Linked DNA regions of Schizosaccharomyces pombe. The gene in region 1 interacts genetically with each later gene. Each region holds a gene or a part of one and is shown on either strand. Other genes may lie near its edges.

The links.
Region 2: mutations in SPOM_SPBC365.16 (region 1) and wdr21 together harm fitness less than expected from each alone (positive genetic interaction), as found in Schizosaccharomyces pombe (one large-scale study listed by BioGRID).
Region 3: mutations in SPOM_SPBC365.16 (region 1) and saf4 together harm fitness more than expected from each alone (negative genetic interaction), as found in Schizosaccharomyces pombe (one large-scale study listed by BioGRID).
Region 4: mutations in SPOM_SPBC365.16 (region 1) and SPOM_SPBC18H10.05 together harm fitness more than expected from each alone (negative genetic interaction), as found in Schizosaccharomyces pombe (one large-scale study listed by BioGRID).

The regions. Positions count from the first base shown.
Region 1 is NC_003423.3:2,526,040-2,533,866, reverse strand, and holds SPOM_SPBC365.16 (uncharacterized protein), read right to left. Parts: upstream 4,201-7,827; 5' UTR 2,880-4,200; coding exon 2,046-2,879; 3' UTR 1,653-2,045; downstream 1-1,652. Other genes in the region: ccr1 (NADPH-cytochrome p450 reductase), read right to left, coding at 1-404; gamma tubulin complex GCP2 subunit Alp4, read right to left, coding at 7,452-7,827.
Region 2 is NC_003424.3:326,570-333,163, reverse strand, and holds wdr21 (WD-repeat family protein wdr21), read left to right. Parts: upstream 1-3,578; 5' UTR 3,579-3,679; coding exon 3,680-4,942; 3' UTR 4,943-4,968; downstream 4,969-6,594. Other genes in the region: protein eti1, read left to right, coding at 421-3,354; cysteine-type deubiquitinase Miy1, read right to left, coding at 5,182-5,666, 5,773-6,222, 6,308-6,470.
Region 3 is NC_003423.3:1,785,066-1,792,968, reverse strand, and holds saf4 (splicing-associated factor Saf4), read left to right. Parts: upstream 1-3,922; coding exon 3,923-4,183; exon of another isoform or gene 4,184-4,228; coding exon 4,229-4,477; exon of another isoform or gene 4,478-4,532; coding exon 4,533-4,922; 3' UTR 4,923-5,051; coding exon of another isoform or gene 5,052-5,326; 3' UTR 5,327-5,361; downstream 5,362-7,903. Other genes in the region: rps1402 (40S ribosomal protein uS11), read right to left, coding at 166-585; RNase MRP subunit, ribosomal protein L7-like Rpl701, read left to right, coding at 754-882, 1,324-1,950; PPR repeat-containing protein Ppr2, read left to right, coding at 2,287-3,585; SPOM_SPBC18H10.09 (zf-CHY type zinc finger protein), read right to left, coding at 5,052-5,326, 5,362-6,491, 6,555-6,637; ubiquitin hydrolase Ubp4, read left to right, coding at 6,721-6,828, 6,889-7,032, 7,221-7,903.
Region 4 is NC_003423.3:1,775,543-1,783,658, reverse strand, and holds SPOM_SPBC18H10.05 (WD repeat-containing protein), read right to left. Parts: upstream 4,406-8,116; 5' UTR 3,646-4,405; coding exon 1,885-3,645; 3' UTR 1,685-1,884; downstream 1-1,684. Other genes in the region: wbp4 (WW domain-binding protein 4), read right to left, coding at 1-273, 347-400; swd2 (Set1C complex subunit Swd2.1), read left to right, coding at 503-678, 739-1,003, 1,052-1,684; sce3 (translation initiation factor), read left to right, coding at 6,762-6,765, 6,803-6,813, 6,855-6,945, 7,110-8,116.

The DNA.
Region 1 (7,827 bases):
AAAACGGTATCATCGCCCTCAAGAAGTTGCAAAAAGGCCTCCGCATTGTCCGTAGGTTCACCTTCACCGTAAGTTGCGAGAAAGAATACCAATAGTTTTGATCTATCAAAGTTGTCCAAGTCGGTTAAATCATAGTTCTCAAGATCGAAAACCATATTGGTAAGATTGAAGTTTGCCTTTGCTTCCGTTGAAAAACGGTAGGCAAAGTCCTCAGCGGTACCAGTTTGAGATCCAAAGAAAACCGCGGCAGTGAGCTTTTCGGCCTCCATCAACTCGACAATACTGTCGGTAGCCACGACTCGCCTCTCAGGAGCCTTTGGCTTGTTGAGAAAATTGTTATAAATAAAGTAACACAAGCTAAGGATCAAAATAATGACCAGCAATACATATTCATAAGTCTTCATAATGCAAAAAATATAATAACCAAATTTTACGAGTGTTCAACTTCGGGATTTAATCCGCCTTTTATTCCAAGGGTAAATGTGCGTGTAAAAAACGAGTGAGTCAACAGAATTGTCTGATGATAGGCAGATGCGAAATAAAGAGCGAAACAGTACTATGCTTTTTTAGCTTGAACCACTTTGAAGCAGATACACTAAAGCGCGAGACAATAAAAATGAAGAAACTCAAACAAGGGTTTCTATAGCCTCTTAAACAAAAAGTCAAGTATTTATCCAAATACTCTAAAGAATCTATAAAAATCAAGATGAAGTATGTAGGCTAAGATACTTAATTAATGAAACAACTGCGCTTTATATGATGAGCACAATAACCATGCCAATTGAACAATCAAATAGATGCTAGAAAGCTTCTAAAGTAATTGACTTCAAAAAGCAATCCTTTCGGGAGAAAAGCTAATTGTTTTGGCAAACGCTAATACCTGGTCGCTGGTAACTCCTGCACCTATATACTGCTATAATATAAAAAAAAAAAATATAGTTCGATTTTTCAATGATTACTTTTTGAAAATTTCTATTAATTAATAAAAAACTATTTAATAAATTCATGTATTAATTTTGGTTAATTAGCATGTTCAACGAAGTTAAAGTTTGACAGATATAGATATCCAACATATGTAGTAAGTATGGATGGAGAGATAAAAATGGGAATGGGAATGAGAGTATTTTTAGATAGAAATAGTGTGACGGCAATCGTACAATAGTTAATTTATTGTGGCAAGCCATCGCAATAACAAAATACCTCGGGAAGAGAATTAAGCGCAATACGAAATTATGGTAAATCGGCGATTCTACTAGTAGGTGTTTATTGTTTTACTAATTATAATGACGATCAGTAAAAAGTAGGTGAGCTTTGAAAAAACCGTTGCTATACACTTTAGGATTTATTTTGACGAACCAATTAATATGGCTACCGTAGTACGGTACATTTTGAACCATTCAGTAAGCTAGTAGATAGGAATAAGCTATCGTCTTTCTGGTCAACATTGGAATGCAAAAAGAAATAATCTCACTCTGTTTATCGGTTTTAGGTTTCTACCGAAAGCCCATTCAAAGACCGTAAAACACTATCGGCAAAAGCTGTTTGTAAACGAACGATAAAAGAATAAATTTGCTAAACAAGCGGTCTTTACGGTTGCTCGTTTTTTGACATACACAAATTTGATACTCAACCATACTAAACACAAACGAAAATGACTTAAAATAGAATTCAAATTTTATTTATTAATGTACAAAAGAAAACCATGTGTCTCTTTGCCTCTTTATTTTCTCTTGCAGTTTTTCTTTTTTCTTCAAATTCTTCTCCAGACAAAGAAAAAACTCAGACGCATAAAAATCAAGTAGAAAACTTTTTTAAGTGAAACCTTCATTACACATACACTATATAGTTCATTCAAAAAAGTATGCAGCTTCATGTTCCAGATAACAGGATGTATGCCACTTTCCTTATATAGGTTTAAACCGTAGTCCACACACTTTTTAGACACTATTCAGTAGTGAATAATAAAAAAATGATGAAAAATAATAATAATAAAATAATAATAATAATAATAGCCGAAAGAAAAAGGAAAGAACGTCATGTATGGACTAAGCAAGAGCAAATTGTTGTTTTTTCATAGTACGTTGTTGAAGCGAATCCAAATAAGTGGTTCGTAATTTACGATTAGTAACACCGCCAATACCAAAAGCCGGAAGAATCCTAACCATACGGGCGAATGTGCTTTTTAGTAAATGCTTACGAACTTGCATAACGCGGTTGGCTGCTGATATGTTAGGTCCACCTCTGTTATAAATGTCAAGGGACAGGAGATGAAGAGGTGTGCTAATAAACTGTACGGCACAGGGGGTGAGCAATTGAGCGGTGATTAAACCACCGGGGAGTAATGGAGCAATCATAGGAGGTATGTTGAAGGAAAAGGCGATGGTGAGTGCATCACGAAGTCCATAAAGACCGTAACAAGACCAAGGGAGAGGACGAGGAGAACCGGTGCCCCAAAATTTGGTAAAGAAACTATCCTTCAAGATGGATAAACCGCTGTTTGCAGCGGTGACAGAACAGAATTTAAACCAGCCGGAAGTTTCCGCCTTGAAGACGGGATTCTTGTGACGAATGTTATCCAGTGTGTCTATGGAATTGGCCGTCATATATGTGCCCGAGTATAATGTAAAGACCAGGGCAAAGGGAGCGCTAAAAAAGAAGGCGCCTGGCTTTGATAAAACATATTTGATGGAGCGACTAACAGAGCGTAATAAAGTAGAACGGCCACTAGTATTTTCGACGATTGAGCGGTCGATCGTCAAGATAAAGGGAGAAATCATGGCACTGGCGGCTGTAGCGGCAAATGCATCGATGCCGATCCGCTTCCAGGTATTGGAGGGAACGGGTTTGGGGGACAAAGGGGGTTGACTATTAAGAGCCATGTTAAAGTCAAAGAGTTTAAAAAAAAGATTAGAAAAGATAAAAAATAAGAATAAAAAAACCAGAAAAGATAAAAAAAATATTAAAAACTTTTTTGTGAAAATAATAAAACAAGCCAAGCAAAAGGTCTTTAGGTATCTATTTTTCTCTCTTTTTAAAGGTTTAATCTAATTTATACAACGTTAAAGCTGAAAAGAAAGAGACGATTGCGAAAAAAAAGCAAAGCCAAAAATAATTTTTCTTCAAATAAACTGCACTTCAACAAATGCAATGAAGGAAAAAATTTAAAACGTTAAACACGAATAGTATAGGCTAACGGGGCAGATAGTACAGGTGAGAGGAAATGTCACCAAAAAAAGACAATTAAAAAGATGCTGAGTAAAAATGAAAGACCGAGAAACGACGACAAGACCAATTGAACAACAAAAGTAGTAGTAGTAGTAGTAGCAACAAAAACAAGTAAAGAGAGGGAAACCAAGTAATTCACACTTTGGAAATGTATATATTCCTTTCTTTTCTTTTTCTAAGTAAAAAGATATATATTATATCAACAAAAAAAGGTAAACCCGAAATCCTAAAATTATTATAAATACAAAAAACCAATAATAACCACAAAGTCCAAGTTAAAGCAAAACCACTTGGATTGTAAGAAGGAAGATTGATGGTGGTTTAAAAAAAAATAAGACGATGATTGGGATTGTGAATAAAAAAATTCAATTCAATTTGATTCGTATCGTTAAAACTGCTTCGCTCAATCAAAACTAACAGTAACGTGAAGTAGGCGATATAGGGAAAAGACAGAACGATTTCCAAAATAAGAACGACAAGTGACTAAGCCGTTTCTATAGCAAACAAAGGCTAAGTTTACAAGGGTTGATCAATCAACGGGTGGAAATGAGGTATATCGATGCAATGATAAGACAACCTTGTCCAACAATCCAACTAGCCAATGAGAAAACAAAAGTCAGACAGCCCACCAAATAGCAGGTGAACGAGTAAAAAACAATTAAAACAAAGGGTTTGATTCCACGCTTTGAGAGAATTATCCCGTACGTTTGAGATGGGGAAAGGATGCGTAAAAAAAGCGGTGGTGGTACTGTGGTGGTTGTAGTAGCGGTAGGAATGGCAATATCAACAACACTCTTCAGTAACAAATAGTACTGGGCAAGCAGCAGTATGAGTATGGGATAGCAGTGAGTAAACAAGAGTGTCTAAGGACTTTAAAAGATATTGCTCGTAATAGTTGCTAGTTGTTCCCAGTTACGCTGGTTCCTATCCTTCTTCTCGTGTCGTAATTGGATCAAGTGCTTGAAGAGGCGAGCTGGAAGAGAAAAAAGAGCGAACGAAGCACGTTTTATATCAAGTTGGCATCAATTTTTAGTCTTAAAGATTCTGTGTTATCTTGCGTTAAACGGGTCAAGATAGGGTGATGATCCCCTTAATTAGCAAGACCGAACAACTTGGGACAACTTGGGATAACGGACTTTTGCAAGAAAATTAGGTGACCCAACCTGGTATCGAGGTAACAGCATCCGAGGTAAAACCGAATATGAGAACAAGTACCGACGAGCTTGAAGGGCGGCAGCGGGGCAAGCAAAAAGACAAGGTGGAAGATGCTGTGTTGAAGTATAGGAGGAAGTGAGATGAAGATTTTGTATTGAGATGTGTTGACGCTGTCTAATAAAGGAAGGTTGCTGACAAATAAGGCATGCTCTTGATTGTTTTATTTTTATTTTTTATTTATTTTTTTTTGTGGTTAATTGTTTTTTTTCTAACTCACTTACTCATCTAATCATTTTTTCTCTGGTCCTTTTTCTCTAGTTCCTTTTTTCCTCTAGTCCCTTTTCTCCTCTAGTCCTTCTTCTCTAGTGGTCTTCTCATCTTTCTAGTCTGGTATTTACTGTTTCACATGCAATAGTTCTAGTAGCGATGCAGCTATTCATTGCAAGCGACTATTCCTACAATGTAAACAGTGTAAACATTGTAGAGAGTCGCTGCTCAAAATCTTAGAAACGGCTAATACTCTTTTCTACTCTTGCTTTTTTGTTGATTTCTTTTCTATTGTTTTCTTTACTTTACTTTCTCTACTTTGCTTGTCATTGCTAGGTCTAGTCTTGTCGGGCGAAACAACCCAACAAGAGTAAATTTTCAGATGGTGACGTTGAAGACTGAGATCCTCGACATCAAGATTTGGGTGTGATAAACGAACGGACCCTTAGATGGATAGCGTATTCACACCCTAAACCCGAAACATAGGGTAGCGTTTTTAAGGCTGCCGAAAGGCGAGTCTACTATGGCCCCTACGGTGGATAAGATGGATAGTGAGTAAATCCAAAGGGTATTTGTCAAGCAAAAAAATAAATAAATAAAGCAATCAATAGGTGGTGTTGCATTCGCTAGTTTGCTTCATTTATTAATTATTACATTCATTAGTTTTTTATGTTCGTTAGATATTAAAAGATCATCAAACTCATCCTTCCTCTTATAACGTCTCTTTTTCTTTTTTGTTTACTCTTCACACTCTTGCATACTTTCATAATTTTTCCAACAAAACTTATCTTGTCAAAGCTCACCAAATTTTATCTACGAAATAATCTTTCTCTCTCTCTCTTCATTATCAGTTAGCTACATTCCATTTTCCTTCTGTCTCCCTACTTTCTCCCACCCCGATCATCCACCTATCCATCATCCTTCATCTACTACTGCTTACTATCCGTAATCTATAAGAAGTGTTGGCACTCACTAATCCTCTGAATTTACGGATACTGCTCTTGAACTCGTTATCGCTATGTTTCGAACGGCGACTCTCTTCCTAAACACTTTCTAGCAGGTGGTTTCGCGATCCCAATTGCTAAAACACTTTATTTCATTTTCCGTCCCCTGCTGCCAAGGAGAATTTCGGATCTAAATCGACGAGGAAGAAGAGGACGGTATTGCAAAATTTGAGAGATATTTACGTTTGTATGAAGTTTGAAGAAAAAAAAAAAAAAAAAGAGGATGAAAATTTTTCTAACATACAATCTTTCATCAAATCCTTAAACTTGTTTTAGTAGTACGCTTACTAGAAATCCTTTTTTAAATTTTTTTTTATTAATTACCTAGTATTTAGCTTTTTTTGTTTTGCTATTTTGGTTCTCATATTTTTTATCTTTAGTTCTATTTCTATTCTATTTGTTCTCTTCTATCCTTTCTCATCATTAGTCAGATAAAATAAAAATCTCTCAATTCAAATATTTCGATTTCAATACATTCGGCTTAAAATGTTTCATTCGGTTCGAAATGCTCTTTTATATTCCGTTCCTTGTTATCTTCCCCTTTATTTCATCTTAACTTACTTATCGTGTCCATTTGTAATCTGTAAAGTATATTTGCTAGTTTCTAATTATTTCTTTCTCCCTCTCTCTGTTTCTCTTGTTTCCTCTTACATGGTGGGGGATTGATAATTTTGGGCAATCCACTGTGAGATAAGTTTTCGTTTTTCTTACTCCTTGATGCGATAATTCTAAAGTCATATGATTCCTTTGCCTCACACCCAGCTATCGCCCCCATACTTAATCATACAATCTGTACTCACTTTTCATAGTAACTCTATCCTTTCGTAATAACCATCCTACACTAATCTAAATTGACGTTTTCCTTCGATATTACAATTTTTGTATGCGCTTTACTAGCTTACCTGTTCCTTTGTTTACGCATCCATTAAACTTTTAACTGCAAAATACAATTACTAGAAATTCATTACGAGTGCACACAAATGAATAGTTTTGCGTATACAATACTATAACCACCTAAATTAAACCTTGGTTTGGTTTTTATATACATACATCATCATCATTACTGTCGTAGCAACTGTACTTCTTCACATAACAAAGTTCATTACTATAGCTGTCTATGGTACAAACGTTAGCATACATTGTATCACTTCAAAATCAATCGATAGCTCTTTAGACTAGGAACAAATGCTTAGCCTCTCTCTTCGTTCTTCCTCAATCACGCGGCATACTGCCGACTTGCCTTAAATTTAGCGACATAGCTAATAAAAAATTAGCGATCAAAAATCCAAGTTACCATTCCTCAGGCATTATCAGCAAACCCTGTTTCAGACATTTTAAAAAATCGATTATTTTTTATATAACACAAGTGTTGGCATATTAAACGCTCGCCATGCCTTTCTCCATAATCATTCTTAAATTCATGGCCAATGGCAGTCGTCTTTTTGTCAATTTTTAACCGAATAGTGCAGTACGCTTTTAGTGTGACAACTGGCCAAAAAAAAGTCCAAACTACTGAAAATGGACCAATGTATACTGCGGATAAGCAATGCTTGTTTATGAAGATAATTGGCCATTCCGCAAGATCCTCACTCCAAGTCATTTCTTTATTAACGAGTACAAGCAACAAGATGTCAAAGATAAGGTTATCCAAAAACCGACTATATAAATATCCATAAAAGTTTTTCTCCCAATTTCCATTGCTGTTTGTCAGATGTTTCTTCATATCTCAATAAAACAATAGTAACGTTGTTCCATTTGTAGTTTTTCTACCTTGCCTTGTTTTATCTTGTCTCTTCTTAGTTATCCCGTCAATTTCATTACTAAACTTAAAAGAGCCGCCGTCTCAGTACTTGCAAAGTAGTTACAAGCATTCACTAAGGATTTTAAATGACGACTAAAACTGTCTTCGTACCGGCGTAAAATTTCTTCCATCTTATCCATTCTTCCTTCATCAAAGCTTTCTTCGGAATTCTCAAGCAAATATAAGGATCGGGTAAACGTGGAAGTATAAGAGGCAAACATAGCACAAGTATTAAGTAATTTAGATTGTACTTTAAGTAATCGCGAGTTAGTAAGCATGCATTCTTTTAGACACGTATCCAAAAAATCGATATGCTCCTGCATTAAATTATCCACAGTTCGGGCGTTCTCAAGTTCTCCCATAAATTTCCCCCAA
Region 2 (6,594 bases), on another chromosome or scaffold:
TAATCAATAGTAGTAGTGAGACTGTAAGGTTGGAAATATGTAGTAGCCTAATGAAGTATATGGGCCGCATTGAGCAAATACCTAGATATATCCATCATACATCCTTTTTATCGTAGTAATAAACTGATATTAGAGTCATTTTGTCAAATTTAAAGCTCGCTTTTTATTAAAAATTTGAGAATGCTTTTATTTATGTTTCTGTTTCTTAAATAATTAATAGTTGCATTCTCACATTCTTTTGAGAAACTTAATAAAAATGTGAGTATTAAATTCTAAGATGAAGTTTGACGAATGTATTTCCCTAAATTGCTTCCTCCTTATTTTTAATATTAGCGAAAATTCGAACTTGCCCACTAACAAAAGCCCAGTACATGTAGAGTGCAAACAAAGCGCACTACATAAACAACCATCGTTGTTAATATGTCATTTTATAAAGAAAAATCAATTAATGAAACAAATCTCGGATCGTTCGTTGACGAAAGTAATGAACTTTTTTTTTCGGCATTATCGGAATCCTCAATGAACCATGGAACTCCTGATGATAGCATTCTACTTGACTTAGTAAGTCGTTCAGACAATAAAGATTTATATCAAGATTCTCTCGATGTTCGAGATAATTTTTCAAACTTATCTAGTGATGAAATTCCCCAAAGCAGTTCCTATGAACAAACTCGCAAGCCATTCTTTCATCATTTTAACCCGTTCGAGTTTTTAGAAGCCACAAGTCCATTGCAACAAAATGGCAAATCTAGAGATACGGAGAAGCCTCCTTCAATGAAAGAAAAGGATTTGTCTTCAAATAGCAGTTCGCAGCATGATAAAGCCTTTCATGAAAGGGTTGACCAGGGGAAAAATAAATCGTCAACCACTAAATATCAAGAATTTCGAACTGTCGCTGATTATCGAGAATTTTCTCCTGGACAATCAGTCAATTCATTGAAGCCAAATTCTGGTGATGAAGTTCCATCAACCAAATCCTCAACGTCTTCTGAAATGCATACTCAACTATTGAAGGATGAGCAAAAGAAAATTTTAACACCCGCACCTGATGTGCCTCATGATGTTTACTGTATTGAACCCTCTTTGGGTCGAGTTTTTTCTTTTCCGGCTTCATTCGTTGCATCTCCTTTGCTTTTAGAAGATTGCAATAAAATAGCATCTTGTGATCTTCCTTATAGTACATTTTATGCTAACTCACAAGTTATTGATAAATTTTCTGAATATTTTGCATACGTGGATCAGGATCCTTGCCATATTCGCGTACTGAACGCCAATACCGATCAATCGCTCATACTTTATACGCAATCTGATGTTAAAAATCTACATTTTGGCAAAAATAAGCATACAAAGCCCCATCTTTTGGTAATGGACGCTCTCTCTAATCTGTATGTTTGGAAAATTTTACAGAAGCGATCTGAAATTTCAGTTTCACTTTTGTTTACCATCCGTCGTGCCAATTATGGTATTTGTGATTGGATTCCTAATTCTTCAAATATGTTTTCTATGATTGTAAAGAATTCTTTATATATTGTGGATATATCAAATATTCGTTCCAATAATATTAGCCCTAAAGTTTATGCAAAAGATTTTAATGGATTACAAGCTGCCAAGGTTGATTTACCTGGGCCGATTAACTCATACACCATCTCTTCTGACCGTTCTGTTGTTGCAATATTAGTGAATTCTCAAATTTTTTTCTATTCATTTCCAGTTTCTAATTTATTTTCTACTAATCCTTCACACCGAGGTAACTGGGCGGCTATCGCGACAATGAGCCTTCAGCTTCCGAGTACAGCAAATTCTATTTCTTTTCTTTCATCTCCACCGAACAATAATGATATCATTGATAAAGTTATTTGTGTCTCCTATGCTAATAATACTATATTAGGTTTATTTGATTTTGGGTTATGTGCTTTTACTCAAGAAATTGAGTTTTCAAATGAAAAAGAGAAATCACCTATTCAGCAATTACTTACTTTCAATAATTCAAACATGATTGTTGCAAAAAGGAATCAGCTTTTGGATATCTTTATTTATTCACCTTCTGATTTATCCAATGTGGGTGTATTATCTAACACTGCAGCTTTGATCTCTGCTGTTTCCAAAGGCAAGCGTTTTGGAGATTCTGGTTATATTAATAAAGTAATATCGAATGAGGTGGTGGATCATAGCATTGTTTTTGTCACCTTAATTGGCTGTGATAGTTCCAAACTTGAACTAATTTTGGCACTAAGTTCTGGATATTTTCAGTTCTGCATAGAAAGCGATTCCAAATTTGACGAGGGCACTTCTTTGGAATATCCTAATTCTGACAAGCGAATTTTAGCTAGGGCATCATTAACTTCGGGATTAAAGTCTAATAACACGCTAAGGGCTTTGAGTCAAGATTTAAAAAATTGTGCAAAATCTAAGGATGATTCCACAACACAAAATCTTACAGAGTCTTTGGGATCAGTTTGTTATCCCTCCATGCCATTCTTCAATCAATACGTTCCTCAAAATCCTAATGAGGTTAGAGAAAATATCTCTTCAGTCATGAAAAGTAGAATCCACGCAAAATTTGAAAGCTTGCATAGTCGAGTGGAATTGGTTGTTAAGAACTCTTACATGAAATTGTTGGAGCAGACTATTTCAGAAGCTGCAACCGATGAAATTTCTGATCTTTTCAAATTGATACATTCAAAACCTTTTCTTCTTGAGGTAGGATTCCTAGAAACTGGATTTTTGGCAAACGACTTGGAAAACTTAACATCCACTTATAGAAGCAGTAATAGGCAGTTGTGCGATTTTTCAAACCGCATAGGAAACATTAACCAAAAGCTTGAAAAACTCTTAATGATTGAGCGATTAGAAACTAGCGATCAAAGTCCAACATCCTCTTCTAATTTTGAAGAATCTGAGTCATTTGCAGTATCGAAAAAAGTTTTGGAATTGGTTCGCATTTCTAAGAATAAAGAGGCGTTAATTTGCTTCACGAAGGATCCCTCTATTGAAGCATTCCGGTCATTACAAGATGTGCCTGATTATTCACTAGATGATTGTTCTTCAATTCATCTTTTAGCATTTATTCATGTTCTTTCCAAGTTAATCATAAAAGAGGAACAGCTATCATTTTCTCGTCTTCAACTATTATCGCGAGCTACTTCACGTCTTCGGACTATGACATTATCAGTATTTAACAACAGCGGCACATTAACTCCTGAGCTGTTCTCCTCCGTTGTGCGCATTGTTCTTAAAAACGTGAGGGAATTTGTGCTAATTGGTAACTCTAGTATACAGAAGTCGAAGCACGAATTTTTAATTACGACGCTCCAAGCACTGTTAAGAGAAGTCGATATTTTTCTCAATACATAGAAAATGGAGGAATCTCTGAAACTAGCTTATGAGCGACAATAAGCTTAGCTGCAAGCACTAGTAATTTTGTCTTTTACGGCATTTTTTCCTTATAGGGGGCATTTAAGCTATTAACTATAAGTTAACAAATAAGGAATTTTATCGTGTTACCTTATTATACCGTTTGCCGCACACTGGTGCTTTTTTTTATTAATTTATATAGTTGTGTTGTCTTTTGAATACCTAAGTATTTGGCTACATACAACAGAGAAATGGTATAACGACAACATTTTAACAAAACCTTTTTTGTTTTTAATTTCTTTTGCTTACCATCAATCCCTGGGTTATGAGCGGACTACCATTTCATATTCCCGGTTATTATTACAATTCTGAAAAAAAGCGTTACTTTCGAATAATTAGCTCGGGGCAGTCTACTCCGTCCTCTAATATTTATACTAAGGAGAGGTTGAAAAGGGGGAAGCGTTTTAATAATATCAGTAAAGAACGAACCAAAGGAAAAGGAGGCAATCCCGTTTTCAACTTTTCAACTTATCTTTTTGATAGACAGTTTTCACAATATCCTTATTCTTGTAATGATGACAGAGATTATTTATGTGCAAAAAACCTAAAAAAAATAAATCTTCGGCAGCTTCCAGTTGGGACTGAGCTGCAAAAAATAGGTTGGCTTCGCGAAGTTAATACCATAATTTTAACTTCCAAAAACGGCGACATATTGGGGTGTTGTCTTACCCCTGAAGACAAATCTGGAGTTGCAAATGAAAAATATACTTCAGAAGGTTCAATTCAGGATTTTTCCTTGTCAAGGATAGGCCTCTCTAATAATCCCATTTCTTCTTTGGTATGTAACGCAATGCAAATTTTCTGGTCTACATCTCCTTCTCTGCAGAATGAGGGACAATTTCATATATCTACTTATAACCAGCTATTGGGTGAATCCAATAATTACCGTTGGGGATCTCTTAAACTTTTGAAAACCCCTTTATGTGCAGAAAGTATTGGAGAGATGGGCTTTGCAGTTGGTGGCACCTCAAAAATTGCAATAATTAATCGAGAGGGAAAATTAACGCAAAGTTTGCAATCTAAAGGAGACGTATTCAGTCTTAAATATTTGGGTGACAACTTAGTCATTGCTGGATGTCGAAATAAAAGTGTATTAGTGTATGATCTTCGGACGAAGAAAGAATGTGTACAGCGATTCTATCATGGATCTAGCATTTGTTCAATGCAAAACTTAGATTTTTCCCAACCGAAGCTTTTGGTTAGTGGTTTGGAATCTAAAATTTCTTTGTATGATTGCCGATTTCTGCAAAGTAAAAAAAGACCCCAGTCAATTATGTCTTATATGGGTCATTCTAATTTGCTTGAAAGAAATTTAGCTTTGATGAAAAATGAGAATGGAAGCATTTTTAGCAGTGCTGGTGATGATTATGTTTTACGTTTTTGGAAAACCGACTGTTCGTTACCATTCAAGGAAATGCGAGTTGACGATGGTAAATATTTATGTCGAGATGGGTCTTGGGTAAAAGCAATGAATGGTACCGGTTGGGTTCTACCGTATGGTCGAGGCTTACTTATTTACGAACCATGAGCATTTAACAAGGTGAAGAAAATTCTTTTTGGTAGCAATAGTATCTTTAGTCTTACGGATATATGTAATGCTTGTTTACTTTTCAATCTTTCAAAAAAGTTTAGGAGATTTCAATATTAATTAATAATTGTTGACGTAAAAGAAACTATGGAATAAATGTAGTAAATGCATACGCTTTCACTAGAGCGAATACAAAAAATAAAAATATAAAAGACAGATCCTCTAAGTATCATGTTTCATCACGAAATTAAACAGTTTTCGCTTTGCTTACGTGATTTCTGGGTATTGGATTTGTTACGACGAGGAGTGTTGGAAGCCTTTTTAGGAGTCTCCTTTTTTCCTCTTTCTTCTTCTTCTTTCGCTAGTCTCTTGGCATATTGTTCATCATCTTTAGCGCGTTTTTTTTTCTCCTCCTTTCTTTGATTCAAAACATAAACAGCAGGAATGAAGTTAGCTGCACAAAGTTCACCATTGCCTGTCTCAACTGTTTGCGAGTCAAAGGTTTCCCACACAACATCTTCACCTGTCCTTGCGTATCCACTATCTGTGACCAAAGTAAATTGTGCGAATGAATCTGGATTTGAATACATGGTACTGAAATGACTGGAACGAAAAACCACGACTATTTCCCCTGGACCTACAAGCTCAAGAATCTTTTTAAGACCAGCATTCGTCAAAAATTGCATTGTATAACGATTTTCCATAACTTTGTCAACACATGTAGCTATTTGAAGTGTTAGTTTGTAAAAAACATATAGCAAATTATAAGGCTAAAGTCTCTCAAGCAGTAAACTGAAGAAAGTATGCACGACAGATAAGTAAAAACTTACAATTATTTAAAAAATCTTGCTGCTGTTCAGTTAGTGGCTCCTGCATCTCTAATAGAGAACGACGTTCGGCAAATGTATCTGCAACTTTTTCATAATATTCAAGCTTTCGAAGGTAGCTTAAATCTTCGTCGCTCAAACCCATATCATCTGAAAGAATCCAACCATGAACTAATCGAACTCCAAATGTACAAAAGATTTCATGCCCATACTCAAACTTTTCAATATCATAGAGACAAGGATTCAATTGCTGACCGAAATGCATAGATGTCAGTTTATCCTGAAGACTTTGCTGATTTTTGCATAAGCCGTATGCTTTAGCAAACTCCACCAAGTATTCTGTCAGTTCATCGGGTGTGATGTATCTTTTCTTCGGCAATTCAAATGGTCGATCTACGTTTGACTTTAATATTAATGCATTGGACAAAGCAATTATAGGACACGGGCCATTAACTGAATACAAAGTAAGCAACTTAGAATTTGCGGAATAAAAGCTTGCAATTATGTTTAAAACGTTACAAGTCTTTATAAGGATTACCTGTTTGACATAGAATAATTCGTTTCTGGTATTCCCTTGAAAGGGGTTCTATGAAAGGAATAGTTCTTGTCTGGTAGGAATTAGAATGGTCCTCTTGCTTATGGTTCTGAGTTTCATTATTATGCTCTTGAGTATCAGGATCGTGTTCCTGAACATTATCCATGGCTTGGTAATTAACAGAACTTAGGTTTCTTAAAGAATTCCTTTTTGAAAATTTCAAATTTATATTCAAGGATTCCTAAATGTGTCATTTAAATTAACCTTATGAGTTAATTTAGAGACGTTGA
Region 3 (7,903 bases), 740 kb from region 1:
CAAATATACACAAATATAGTACTACGGAATACTTTTAGAAGAAAATTACAAATCCATTTTTGACTGTAGATATCCTAAACGAATAACAATTCCAGTGAAATTCCTCCCATGTGACAGAAAAGTACCGAAATAAAATTCGAGACACTGGCAGATACGACAGCACACTTAAAGTCTGCGACCACGACGACCACCCTTTCTACGAGTAGAATCAGTGGGGATGGGAGTAACATCCTCAATACGGCCAATACGCATACCAGCACGGGCCAAGGCACGAAGGGCAGCTTGAGCACCAGGACCAGGGGTCTTGGTAGCAGTACCACCAGTAGCACGGATCTTGATGTGAAGAGCAGTGATACCAACTTCCTTGCACTTAGCAGCAGCGTCTTGGGCGGCTAACATAGCAGCGTAAGGAGAAGACTCATCACGATCAGTCTTGACCTTCATACCACCGGTGACACGAACAATGGTTTCCTTGCCGGTCAAATCAGTGATGTGAACGAATGTATCATTAAAGGAGGCGAAGATGTGAGCAACGCCGAAAACAAGCTCACCGGAACGGATTTGAGGGCCAACGTTAGTAGCCATTTTTCGTGGTTAGTTTTTGGTAACTGCGATATCTCTTTTGTTTTGGGCTTCTTCCTGTGTAAACTAAAGGAACAGTCACAAATTTGTGTCGAAACTTTTGTGACTGCTCATGGGAAAAGTTGACCACTAGTCTTTTCTTACCAACTTTACCACCAGACATCCACCATCATGGCTGTAGCATCGTCAACGGTCCCCTCAAAGGAGCAAATCTTTGCTCCTGAGTCTCTTTTGAAGAAGAAGAAGACCCAAGAGCAGTCTCGTGAACAGCGTGTTGCTGCCGCTGCCGAGAAGAAAGCTGTAAGTGTTTTGTCTATGGATATTTGTCTTTGGATGGATTGAATAAAGTACAGAAATCTTTTGAATGATGAAGAGTTTATCTATAAAGTACACTACAGATTGTGTTTTTTCATCTAGATAGAACCCTCCCACATTCATTTTGATCGGTTTGCAAGGGTTTTCACCTCCCAAAAATTAGTCAAACGCTTTAGCCTGTCATGGAATTTTTTATGATTGCTTTATTTTTATAAGCAATAATAAAGCAGATAATTGAGAAATATGAAAAACAAGATGATGACAACAAATTTCGGATAGCTAGCTTAGGCTGTGCGCGTTCCACAATTTACCATCTTTCGGGACTGATTACTGTTTTTCTACTTTTCTCTTTATTTATTTCTTTCCATCTAAATTACATCCATTCTAATTTCACAAAATTTCTACTGTATTAACTGTTATGTTTAGGCTCAACAAAAGAAGCGTGAGCTCATTGCAAAGCGCGCCGAATCTTACGATGCTGAGTACCGCAAGGCCGAACGTGAGCAAATCGAACTCGGTCGCAAGGCTCGTGCTGAGGGCAACTACTACGTCCCTGACGAAACCAAGTTGGTCTTTGTCATCCGTATTCGTGGTATCAACAACATTCCTCCCAAGGCCCGTAAGATCATGCAATTACTCCGTCTTATTCAAATCAACAACGGTGTCTTTGTTAAATTTAACAAGGCTACCAAAGAAATGCTTCAAGTCGTTGAACCTTATGTTACTTATGGTATTCCTAACCTCAAGACTGTTCGTGAGCTCCTTTACAAGCGTGGTTTTGGTAAGGTCAACAAACAACGCATTGCTCTTTCTGACAATGCTATCATCGAAGCTGCTTTGGGCAAGTACTCTATCTTGTCTATCGAGGATTTGATTCACGAAATTTACACCGTCGGTCCCAACTTCAAGCAAGCTGCCAACTTCATCTGGCCCTTCCAACTTTCTTCTCCCTTGGGTGGCTGGAGAGATCGCAAGTTCAAGCATTTCATCGAAGGTGGTGATGCTGGCAAGCGTGATGAGCATATTAACTCTCTCGTTAGAAAGATGCTTTAATTTGGTGTAGATGTTAAAAATAACCATATCTTTCCTAGCTTTGACAAAATAATTTACAACAAGTAGATTTAGTTGTTTTGGTCATTAGGTGTTATTAGTAAATTCATCGCTAGTAGTTACTTTCATTGTAATTAGCTTTGTTAACTCATTTTTGCAATCTTTTGTGTGCATATAGTAATTTTACCTCGTCAAACAGCACTTTTACTCAACGTTGTACATAAGACGATGGTTGAACTAATGATGTAGTGTCTTCATTCGTAACAACTCATATTTTATAACTTACTTCCTACTAACGCGGTTTTAATCCTAAACTTGAATAAACTAGTGGTTTGTTTAATGCAATTCATTAAAAGGACATTTCCGCGAAGGGCCTTTGTCGATTTGCTCCTAAACCGCTTCTGCTTGCGGGAATTTGCAACCACGTATAGTGTTTCAGTAAGTAATGCGCGGAAATTAGTACGAAAGCGCCTTTTAATCGCTGATGCTTTGAAATTCAAGGAGCAAGTCAACAATCTAAATGAGTTTCGAAATAAAAAAACTAAGTCATCCTTAATAAGAAACGATGGTTTCAAACTGGCTAAAAATGTATCTTCGTTACTTCAAAAAGAGTCTTTAGAGAAAGCATTGCATTTACTGTACGAGAGATCAAATGCCAAGAAGACGGTTGCCTATAACCTTGTACTACAATATCATTTAGCTAAAGGGCATTACAACGCTGCTTGGTCTTTGTACAATGATATGAAAAAGCGCCAACAAAAACCTAGCGATCATACATACTCCATTCTTCTAAAGGGATTTTGCGATGCTATTGAAAAGAATAAGCAAGGAAATTTTTCTAAACTACGTGAATATAGTGAAAAGGTAACAGCTAGTGCTCTCAAGGAGTCTAATAATGTCACATCCAATTTGCATCACATACGAATTATATCCAAGTGTAGTCTAAAGCTTAAAAGTATGGTATTGGTGTCAATGATTATTCCATCCATCAAACAAACATTGGATTTCTATAGTGGATCTCAAATTCTTCGACTTTTGAACGACTTTTCTATGTTCAATCCGGAACAACGTGAAGAAGTGTTAAAGATGGGGACGAATCTTTGGAATTATTTTGTCCTTGAATGCCAAAAGAAAGGAATAGCAGTTGATGAAAGTCTTATTTGTTCCTTTGTGAAACTTCTGGCTACTAGCAACTCGCCTCAAGTGAGAAACGTGGGGTTAAATATTCTTACAAAAGTGATGGGATTGGAATATCAGATTTTCGAAGATTCCAACTTGCGTTATCCTTTACCCCCATATTGCGATTGTACTTCAAGAAGTTTGGTTACAGCATTACAGGTCATTCGTCAAATACAAAACGGTGATTTGTTAGCAAGGTATTGGAAGTATTTTGAGGAAAGTCACAAATTTGATTTAAATCTTCAAGTATATCATGAGAAGCTACGTAACCTTGTTCAGCAGGGCCAAGCAGCTGAATGCTTAAATACCATTAAAAGGATGTCGCATAACGGTCCTTTCCCTACTCAGCAGACATTTTTGATTGTCTTATCATTATGCAAAAGGCCGAAATTTTATAGCTACACGAAAAGCTTCTTAGACTTGGCCAAGAAATTGAACGTCCCCGTTGAAGCAACCTAAAAATATCATCAAGTGTTTAATAATTCATCGATACCTTTTTATGTCATTTATAATTTTCTATTAATTTATAAGAAATGAATTCAAATAATCGTCATGTAATTTATTTATTTGTACATGTTTACCTTGTCCGTTTGAAACTGTAGAATGGAACCCTTATTATTTTAACGTCAATTTAGCAAACGTAATTTAAAATTGTTTGTTGAAAAGCCATGAATTAACTAAGAGTTATAATTATGTTTCTGTTGCATGCCACTGATTTAGCCTGAACTTCACCTAGACGTAGTATTAACTTAGGAACTACTGATTTTGGGCATAAAGAGCTATATACTCACTAAAAATGCAAGGATTTAATATGGGGAAATATATTCCCCCGGAAGGGCCGAATGCTAAAAGAAAATTTGATAAATTACGAAATGTAATTCGGTTTGAAATGCCATTTCCAGTGTGGTGCAACAATTGTGAAAATATCATTCAACAAGGCACTAGATTCAATGCTGTTAAAAAAGAGATTGGCTCATACTATACTACGAAAATATGGTCATTCAGCTTAAAATGTCATTTATGCTCAAACCCTATCGATGTACATACGGATCCTAAGGTACTGGTTTGATTAATTTAACAAATTTGTTACTGACATAAATAGAATACAGAATACATCGTTGCTTCTGGAGGCAGAAGGAAAATTGAACCTCAAGACATCAATGAACGTCCTGCAAAAGCTGAAAACGACGAAAAGGTGCCGTCTGATGCAATTGAAGCGCTGGAAACCCAATTAACTCAGCAAAAGTCAGAAAAGCATAATAGTTCTGTAATAAACTTTATATATGAGAAAAATGAAAGGCTTTGGTCGGATCCTTTCGTTTCTTCTCAGAGGCTGCGAAAACAGTTTCGGGTAAGAAGAATTTGTTTTGCGTTAAAATTTTCATATTAACTAACCCATAACTTAGGAAAGGAAAAAAATTGAAAAAAAGCAAGAAGCTAAAGATCTATCTCTCAAAAACCGTGCAGCGTTGGACATTGATATATTACCACCCTCTTCTTCTGACAAGGATAAGGCATTATTGTTGCTAGATAACGAATTAGGAAAGAATAAATTTATAAGGAAATTAGATTATAGAAGAACATTAATGCCCTCTTCTAGAACATTTTCGACTTTTGCAAAGTTTGCTGAGACTTCATTCGCAAAAAAAGATCCTTTTGCTCGAAAATTTGTCCCTTCCGAGAAGCTAAGGAGCGAGCAAAGGAAATTTCCTACAGAAAATTTAAAGGGAGAGAAAATCCTTGAAGATAATTCGGTTTCTCTCGTCAATTATGAAGTGAGTGATGATGAAGGATAATTATTTTGGTTAAATACGAAGACTTTAAAAGTATCTTCTATCAAAAGATTAACTACTTGTTATTCATTAAATTTTTATACAATATGGGTATCTAATGAAGCAAAAAAATATGGATGTCATGCAACCCAATTAATTACCGTGATGCTTCCTTTTGTACTTCCTTGGATCCTTCCTACTCATGCGAACGCGATCGCGCATTCCTTTTCCTCCCTCCCAGTAGGCACTGGTTTGTTTTTTCACAGTCATATTTCCACAATGGGGGCAAGTTGCATCCTTTTTGTAGAAAGATTCCATGGCACAGTACCCACATATTATTCGATTAGCATGCTCAAATGTATGATTTTGATCAGCGTCATGACATTCATCACATGGATAAACACGATCACAACATGAAAAACGAAACCCTGATTGTTAATTATGAATTTTATAAACGACTTACATCTGAATGATTTTTTGTAATGTTCGCAAGCACCATTATTGGGAAGTGGCAATCCTTTCGTAATGTTTAAGTTTTGTTTTTGCTTCTTTTTTGCGCTCACCTTCCCGCCCATTGAACTTTGTCGTTGTTTTAACAAATGAAATTCGGTATCTTGATGTTCAACCAAGATTCTGTTTTTGCATACTTTACAAAACTGTAGCATGGGCTGCATGGAAGAAATACCTTTAAAGGATGTTATCTGCTCATCAACACATTCCATACAAGAGACCTGACAGTCAATGGGCATCACGTCAACCGGTACACATCCTAAAGTATGGAGGATACCTAAACGGGCATTATTTGGGTGAATCACACCAGGCACCCAAACTAATCTTAGAGTATTACTACACTTATTGCAAACAAGAGAAAATTTTGTAGCAATAGAAATTTCACTTCCATAATGGCACCGAACACACTTTATGACCAAACGTAAAATTGGTGCTTTGAGAGTACCGACATTAGTTAAATGCGGATTCTTCCATTCTAAGCAGTATTCGTTACCCAGAAGCTCTGTGTCTTTGCTCTGAATGTCATGATCGTTACTGTAAGCATCCTGTGGTTCATTAACATTTTGTAGATCATCTTCTTTCCCATCGTTTCCTCCTTTTGAATAAATAATTTTTTTTGGCTTTTCATCATTGAATAACTGTTCAGAGCCAGAGATGGTAGTTTTTGTTTGGGTAGTATTCTGCTTTTGACAGTGATTTTGACCACGCAGTACTTCATAGTCAAGTGTAGTGTTCAAATGAACCCTCTCTGATAGAGGTCCTTCAAGCTTATTTGCCAACGGCTCTAAGTCAGTTGGGGTTTCTGGTTTCTTAGAATCGACTTGTTGAACCATCAACTCACGCTCTTTTGTATTGCATGTCTCAAATGATTTCCAATTTTGTAACAAATAATTAAATAAACTTGTCAAAGTTGTTTTCTGATTTTGAAATGCCGTTTCAACGTACTTATTCATTGCCGTTTGCATGAACTCTTGATTTTTTTCAAGTAATACCGATATTTGAAACGGTTTATCTTTATTTATAACTAAAGTAATCAATCCATGATCACTGGGCAAGGATAAGAAAATCTCATTTCTTGCCTCTCTGGTACTAGTTAATAAAGATGTTTACATTAACTAACCCACAGCTAACCTGCTTAGTACTTACATAACTTCCGGATTAAGCCTTCGCCGGAATACTTGTATCTGCAAGTCCCAATTTGAATCCTTCATAGCTTCAATTGAAACCATAATAACCAAAAAAGGCTATAGTCTTGTAGTATTTGGTTCAATTCAGGTTAAGTCGCCAACACAAATACTCGGTTCTTCCTCGGATGTCCGATGATTATTTCGACAGACTATTTGAATTAGCATTCGTTTATATTAATGAAGATGAAACGATTCAAAGCTGTTCCTTCAGAGGACAACGCTGGCTTGAAGAGGTATGTCTAATTTTTCCGTGCCGTTTATAGTAATGTGCTTCAATTACTAACAGTTTTGAGGCCCAAACTCTTGAACAAAAAAATTCATTACTCAAAGCATACTATTACTATTTAAAAGCACTAAAACTTGCTTACGAAATTCCATGCCGATTCGAGATTTCTGTTAAGTCTACTCATTATGGAGAATTCAAACAGTTCCAAAAGGTATCGACATTGTACATAGTATTTTTTTTAATGCTCAAAACACGAAAATTTTGTATTCAAAGCTCCCTAGCCTTCTCGTCAGATAAATTTGATATAGTTGACGAGACTGTACTAATTATGATCTTTGAAGCAAACTTAATTTATTTTTTGTTCAAGTTACAATCTTGAATACTAACATGTCCTTTTAGTTAGCAATTCAAGCCGTTTCCAAAGCCTTTACTATAAAAAGCAAATTAGCGGTGAAGCATTATTTGCCTGTAATTCAAATCTCTGACGCTCTTTCCCTATCAAAAAAATCATCACTTAAAGTTCTTTTTCTTAATTTCTATTCCCAAGAGTCTTCAAAGGGTTATGTTTTTTCGAAGCACACGATTGCCATCCCAATATCCTGTTTGCAATCGATGGATTCTTCAAAAATATATGACTTTTTAAAATCCGCACCTTTTCATCCAAGCATGGTTATTTGTTACAGTTTGGAAAGATACTTCGAAGACGTTTCTTTGGCTTACAAGCTTTACTCGATGTTACGTTCGTTGAAGTTGGATCCTCATTTCATGGAATTGGCGAACCCTAAGAAAGTTGATAGTTCTTTATCGTATGAAAATTATCAGCCTATAGGTTTAACGAATTTGGGTAATACTTGTTACATGAATTGTGTCCTGCAATGTCTTTTTGCGTGTAAGGACTTGACTATTCCTATGTTACAGGGGAGAGGATTGCTTCAAAATATCAATACCAAAAATCCATTGGGTACCGGTGGAAAAATCACATCTGCTTTCTTTTCCTTGCTTCAAAGTGTCTTATTAAACCATGGTCAGAGATCAATATCTCCAAGGAATTTTTTAGAAATTGTACAGTCATTGAATAGAGA
Region 4 (8,116 bases), 750 kb from region 1:
ACTTGTAGGAATATCCCAATCATCCAAAGTAGCTTTTTTTTTAGAGGGACGTAATTTTGGATGCTCCTTTTTTGGTTTCTCATACGATGCTAGTTCAGATGACACCGCTGAAGCAGTGGTAGCAGTAGCTGATTTTGGTATAGATAAATTCTTCTCAAGTTCCTGCCTTAAAAGGTTGGAACGATGAATATCATCCATTACTTTTTTAATAGCATCCTGATGTTTATAAGTTTGCTCATGGCTCCGTCGCGCAAATGGTGTATCTTTCACGAACTGTACTGTTAGTAGGATTCTATTAATTTCACCACTTTAGAAATAATTTTTGGATGTTATAGAAAAAACTTACTATTTGGCAATATTTACAATAATATTTTGGAATACTTTTCCAGTAATCAGCCATTCTGAATATTAATAGGAGATACGCACTAAATACATACTTAAAACTTATTTACCCATATATTTTTCTCAGGAAACCCACCTTTTAGCATACCGTTATTTAGTAATGACAACAGTTTCAATTACTTTTGACTTGTTGTCGTCTATGCAACCAAGAAAATGGCTGAAAAATCAGAATTTTGTTGGTGAAATTACCTCTCTCAGTTTTGACGACAGTGGAGAGTTGTGCTTGGCGTCGTGTACTGATGATACTTTACAACTGTATAACTGCATTTCTGGAAAGTAAGTACTTCTTAAATTCACTTTTGAAACCTGTTTGGCTAACTGACCATGAACTTCTAGATTTGTGAAATCACTTGCAAGCAAAAAGTACGGAGCACATTTAGGTCGGTTTACTCATCATTCAAATTCATTAATACATGCTTCCACAAAGGAAGACAATACCGTTCGTTATTTAGACGTTGTGACAAATCGGTATCTTCGATATTTTCCTGGCCATAAGCAAACAGTGACTTCAATCGATGTATCACCAGCAGATGAAACTTTTTTAAGCGCTTCTTTAGATAATACTATTCGCCTTTGGGACCTTCGGTCTCCAAATTGCCAGGTATGAGTATAACAATTACTGATAATCAAACTAACTAGGAATACGTAGGGTTTGCTCAATGTTAGTTCACCCGTTGTTGCAGCTTTTGATGCTACAGGACTAATCTTTGCCTCAGTTAGTGAAAGAAAATACAAAATTTCTCTTTATAACATTAAATCATTTGATGCTCGCCCATTTCAAGACATTCCTTTAACATTCCTGCCCCCTCATGTCCGCATTGCAAATGTGGAATTCAGTACTGATGGTAAATATCTATTGCTAACAACTGGAAATGATTTTCATTACGTTATAGACGCTTATAGTGGAAGTGAATTATTAAGAGTTCCTTCAAAGGTTAGCACAAAAACCCAAGATGGAAATTTGACTTATTATGCTTCAGCTTGCATGTCTCCAGATAGTAAATTTCTTTTTACTTCATATGATAATGAGCATCTTTGCATGTATCAACTACCAGAACTGAAACAAACTGTTAACTCGGATCACATTGTTAATTCATTCACCGAAATGGGCCTAGCATCAACTACTCCGACCAGCAATAGTCATTCAACAGAGAACCCGCTAGCTATCATTCCTTCTTCAACATCTAAAAACCTTTTACCAGAAACACCTTCTATTGTTCGCTTTAATCCACGCTTCTCTCAATTAGTTACAGCACATTCTGGAGTAATTTTCTGGACGTAAAATTGTTTTTGTGTCTTAACAAACCACGAAAAAATGAATATTATATTATACTATTATTAAAAACAATTTCATAAAAAAACTTCATAACTATTATTTAAAAGGGGGAAAAAATGAGTCCTCTATTTTAAATGACACCTGAATGACTTAGAAGACTTAAACAAAATAAAAAAAGGTAAAGTAATATTAGTTTTGAATCGAGATTAGGTTCGTAATAAACGCTTCACAAAGTGTCCAAATTTTGAGTTTCTAAATCCATGATGGGAATTCCCCAAATCATAATCAACACACAAGACAATAGTCATACCTGCCATGTTGGTAGCAATTATTATATCAATCGGATGTACAGGAGGTGTTCCATATGATCTGTGACTATGAGGTTTTACTAGATTGTATCCTTCTGCAATTAAACTGCGATCATGTTCCGACTCTTTAGCTTCGACAGCAGTCCTTGCTGGTGCAATGATGGTCGAAGTCAGTCTCTCACTACAAACCTTGAATGTTTCCGTGGGCAAATGGAGAATGACAGAGCGTTTTCTTGATGCATTGATGAGTACCTTGTTGGGAATATGCCATAAAACTACTTCATTAGTATCACTTCCACTAATGATATAACTGTTGTCTTCACTTAAACGAGAAAGTACTCTGCCATTAACACGATGAGCATCACTCAGTTTCAACACTAAAGCGTGAGTGACCGTGTTGTATAACCGGATAGCATTGTCATTAGTAGATACTAAAACAACGTTGTCGGATTTTGAATCGTTTGGAATGATAGATGCGCACTGTAATCCAGTGACTCGGCATTTTTTATTTCTTGAGGGAGAATGATGAATTAGCCATGAGGACACATATTGTAAATTTTTAGTTTCATATATTGCACATAATCCGTAGAACATGCCCACAACGATCGACTCACCGTCTGGATAAAAACAAATAGTAGAAACGACATATTCAAGTTCCGTCCAATGCAATATTTTATGGCGTAAAATGGACCATAACTGAATTTTGCAATCAAGGGAACCAGAAACAAAATAACGATCGTCGATCGGGTGAAATGCGACACATGTAACAATCTCATTGTGCCTGAAAACCGCCAAGGATTTGGTTGATTTTGGATGCCAAAGCCTAACGGTTCTATCCGCAGAGCTAGTTAATAAAAAATCATTTTTGCTCCATGAAATGGAAAGGACTTCTGCGTTGTGACCTACACATTCTAGGACAGGTTCAGGTTCAAAAATGCTAGAAGGGGTAAAGAAACGACCACAACTTTGAGGACCTTCTTTGAGTAAAGTTTCTCTTCTTTCTGGTGTTTCAATTACTTTCCACACACGAATTATTGCATCTTTACCAGCGGTGGCCAGATATTTTCCACTTTTGCTAATTTCGGAGGCCCACACAGATTCTTTAAATTGAGAAGGCTCCCATTGCATAATTCGCTTGCCAAAAATAGTTTTTGACTTTGGAGCATCAGCCGGACCTATAACTTGAGAAACGTAAAGTTTTTGATTAAGTGTGATCTCCTTTTTGGGCATTCGTTTACAATGGACGGGAACGTAATGTCTCTGTCTTTTACTATCGATCTCACCACGATCAATCAAGTTCAGTAGAGATCGATCATCATCTCTTCCGGCCAATTTTTCCGTGTTTGGTGAATTCGTCTCGGCATACGTAGTAGAGTCTCGGGGTGTGTTAACTAAGCTAGAATTGTCATCATTATATTCGGTGTTCATACCAGTGTCGTTTTCTACATCTTCATCTTGTTGAATTGTTAAAGGTCTGAAGGGTCTTTTTTGAGATCTTGTGGATAATCCACGTACAGGGGTGGCAGGCGGATGTTCATCGTCTGTTTCTAGTTTGTAGGCATCATTGCCTGTACCAGAATCACTGCCGTTCACAGACACTTCTCTAGAATGTACTGACACATTATCTTCTCTTCCGGTCTCAGCAACCAAAACGCGCATCTCCAATGCAACTTCTTTTTAAGGTATTATTTTATATGAAAGTTTCCAAACAATACCCAAATTAATTCAAATAGGGAGGTCTTGAAAATGCAAACAAAGCGGAATTAGGAAATTAAAGAATAGGGAAGAACGAAATAGGAGGGATATAAAAACGCAAAGTAGATTGGGCAATCGAATAATATCAATGATGAGGGAATATTTTTTTATTGAGCAAGATAGAAAAGAAATTCGAGTAAAAAGGGAGATTAAAGGTGGATAGGAAAAAAAATGGAGATAATTAAATTTTGAAATTATTCGCAGAAAGTCGAATGCTTGGGAAATGCTATACACAAACGCTGTAGATGAAATACCAAACACGAGCAGAACTTCGGCATAGACTTTTTGTGAAATAAAAAAGAAACTTAAAAAGGATGCAACGAAGAATGGAGTGAAGCTATAATCAACAAATCAATCAATCAATCGGTATATGCACTTAAAATTTGAACCAGCAAATACCACTCGTAAAACCAAAGATGAAAATCAATAGATAAAGGATAAAAAAGAAAAAGAAAAAGAAAATTTTTAACAAAAAAATAATTTTGAGCAGAAAAGGCGTGGCTGTTGCTCAAATTGAATTGGAATTAAAATCTCTCTCTACTGTTTGCTTTTGCCGCTAAAGAAATTTAAAACGCAGACTGCACCAAGAGAACAAAATTTGTGTTTCAATTCCTGTTATAAACACACAATTTAAGTAAAAAAAGCAATAGCAGTGTAAATGGTTAAATTTCCGTTGTTTAATTCATGTCATAATTATATATACTCAGAATCCCATAGTCGTAGTAAGAAGGTAACAACGACTGGCCAGTAGCGGGAAACGCATTTTAGGGAACAATCCCTCGATAGTAAGATAAATCCATTTTTTTGAATTTACTTCCATTAATTAATAAAATCGAAGCAGAAAATCTGATTATAACTAAAAGAAGACTATTATAAATGTTACTTTCTTCTTTTTTTCATCATTATCTGCGGTTAGAAAAAAAATTAGAAATAAAGGATTCGATCTTCGTCAATATGACATTTTGGGGGTGTAGGGCTAATGAAACCAGCATGTTGGGAAATCCTTCAAAGCCACGATTTTTATAGAATCTTTTAAATTATAAATTCCTTTTTAAAATATATAATTGAATTTAGAAATGGCATAAAGGAATTGAATGAAATTTTTAGATTGGTTCGCAACCTGGATGGCAACCATTTGTTTGTTGTAAACAATACCTCTTTATGCGGATGCTTCTTTGTAAATAAAAGAAAATGAACATAAAGAATCCTTGAGAAGAAAGAAATCATAAGAAGAGTGAATTTGAACAAAAAAACAAGTGACATAAAAAATATAAAATGAAATAAATCGGTTTTCTTTGTTATCTAATTGTTAAAAAGGGCTGGTCGGTAATTAAATAAATGACTGCGTCCCACCAAGAAAAAAAGAAAGACCATTCCATTTTAATTTCAAATTCACACGTTTCTTTTATTAGATTTTACTTTCTTTTCAAATTCTTCCTTTATCTTTGCTCCAAGTCAATGAAACCCTTTGATTAATTTTTTCGATTTTTTTTTTCTAACATTATTATGATTTTAATATATTTTAATGGATTTTTTATTGTTTCAGAAATTTTTCGTTCTCCACTCAGCTCTCAGCTCACATTGAATATAGATCAAAGACAATTGTCTAAAAAAATAATAATAAAATAATAAACATCCGAATATCAATTGAAAACTGTATCATCCTCATTTTCTCTTACTATCCCAACCAGCCTTTGATGATAAACATTGGCAGAAGCGGCGGCCCTTTAACTCTAATGCGGGAACTTAAAATGTACCAACAATGGATCAACTTTCGTAACTTGATATATCTTTTAAAAATCGTGTAGATATTATCAATTGCACATATTCTGGAATTCCCAATTCTTCTTGTCTTGTCTCTCATATTACACAACTTGTTAAGCATAGACTAATGCATCTCGTCATACAACGTTAAAAGATAATACTGTGTCAGTGAATGAAAAAAGGATGATAAGCTGAATAGAAATGAATTTCAAAATCGCCGTATTTAGATTAGAAAAATTCCTTGCAATTTTGCTTCACCACCTTATTGTCTTGTTTACGTTTGTATCCAAAACATCGATTCATTTCTGTGCAAGCACGCGTCCTTTTCCTTTTCCTTTCCCCTATAATTAAGCCAATGTGTTTTTGTTTTGTTATAATTCCATATTAGAAAAGGAATCTGCAAAAAATGAAGTCTAAACACTGTCCAAACAGTCCAGTTCGCTGAGAAGTTTAAGTTTATTACTCTCAAAAACAAATTCAATGGTGTACAAAACTGATCATCATTCATCCCTTGAGACTATAACGTTCTCGTTTTTTGTTGATCGAGCTCAATAATAAATCATTTATCATTTATCAATGATACGTTTTTTCAATAGCGATTTACTTCAATGTCAAACCATGGTTGAACAAATCGTAAAGCCAATTTTAATCTTTGCTTTTGGTTTATCGCAAAATCAAATCTCTGTTTTCTGATTGAACTTCAAGAACTTTTTTTTAAACTATTATTTTATAGGAATTATTAGATTTGTGAAAGCTGACATCAAATACGGACTTCTTTCAAAAAAAAAAAAGGAAAATCATTTTCTCCTATCACAAGTATATAATCCCAAAAAAAAGACTTTCCATCAAATTGCAAACGCTACAATGGTTCCATATCCAATTTTCCATTGATTTATTTACAATAAAAAAACTACTTCCATCCAATCCTCTTTGCTCAACACGCTACTTATCGTTATGCGATTATAATGCTCACATTCACAAAAATTCCTCCATGCTTGATTTACCGAAATGATTTAATCCTCATTATCCATGACTGTGAGGAATAGAGACGTCTCCCAATTCTCCCTTTTTCTCGCCTTAGCAAATACAGCAGGCGGGAATGCTTCAGTCGTTCTACTATTGAGCAGTCACGGCATCACTGGGCTACGCTCTTGTGGACCAGCGCGCCAAGAATCGCAAATATTAAATCTGTCGAGAACGACGAAGAAAACGATCTTGTTAGTAAAAAGTGAAGATCTAAAAGAAAATATTTCATAATGGGCAAGTTGTGTTTTTGATCATGAGTTATTAATAATAGGTCCGAAAAAGGTTTGTTTAGGTAATTAGGCATGTTTGCTGAACGATATCAGAGTACGAAAATGAGTTTGAACGCCTTTTTGGGTGACGAGTCGTTTGGTTCGACTAACTGGGCTGATGATATTGATGATTTGCCAGCTTTGCGTAAGTATTTTGTTTTTTATAATGGAAAATTTTGGATTGAATTGGAGTGGGGTGTTTTTTAGGAATCCGAAAATTTCTATTAATTTTCGGCTCTCATTTTTGGGCTCCATCATTTTTCTATTTAATCTTTTGAAATTGCTTAGCTAACTCAATTTATCTATTAGCCCAAGACCGCACCACATCTACGTATCGTGCTACTCCTAGCTCTGCTGACGCCGGATACAATGCTCCTTCTTCCACGTTTGAGTCAGTTAGAAGTCCTCCCGAAAGCCGTCGCGAGGGTGGAATGGGAAGTGGTTACCAACGTGATGCCATTCCCATCCCTTCTGAACCCCCTTTTACAGCTCATGTTGGAAACTTGAGTTTTGACTTAACAGAAAACGATTTGGGCGACTTTTTCGGCGAAGGTGTCACTAGCATTCGCCTCGTCATTGACCCTCTCACTGAACGCTCTCGTGGCTTTGGATATGTTGAATTTGAGACCGCTGATACCTTGAGCGCCGCTTTAGCCTTATCCGGTGAGGATTTGATGGGACGTCCAGTCCGCATCACTGTTGCAGAGCCTCGTCGTTCATTTGCCCGTGAAGAACGCTCTACTGGTGACTGGGTTCGTCGTGGACCTCTTCCTCCTGCTGAACCTGCTGAATCTCCGTTTGGCAAGAGACGTACCAACAGTGGTCGTTTCCGTGATCCTGCTCGTGATCCTTCCGATCGTGTTCGTGAAGAGCCACGTGAATGGGTTCGTCGTGGACCCCTTCCTCCACGTGAATCCTCTGAGCGCCCTCGTCTTAACTTAAAACCTCGTTCCTCCTCCAACGTCAACACCGAAGCTACTCCCTCTGCTACCACTACTACATCTTCCAAGCCTAAAAGAGATCCTTTCGGTGGTGCCAAGCCCGTAGACAATACATCCGTGCTTCAACGTGTTGAGGAAAAACTTGCCAAGCGTACTCAGAGCTTCCGTCGCGAGGACAATGCTAACCGTGAGCGTTCTACTTCTAGAAAGCCTTCCGCTGATAAGGCTGAAAAGACCGATAAAACAGATGCTATTGCTGAGAAAGTATCAGATATCCGTTTAGGAGACGGTGAGAAAAAGAGTTCCGAAACTGATTCGGAGGTCGCTGCGACTAAGACTCCTGCCACTGAGGATGCTCCTGCCACAAACGCTGGC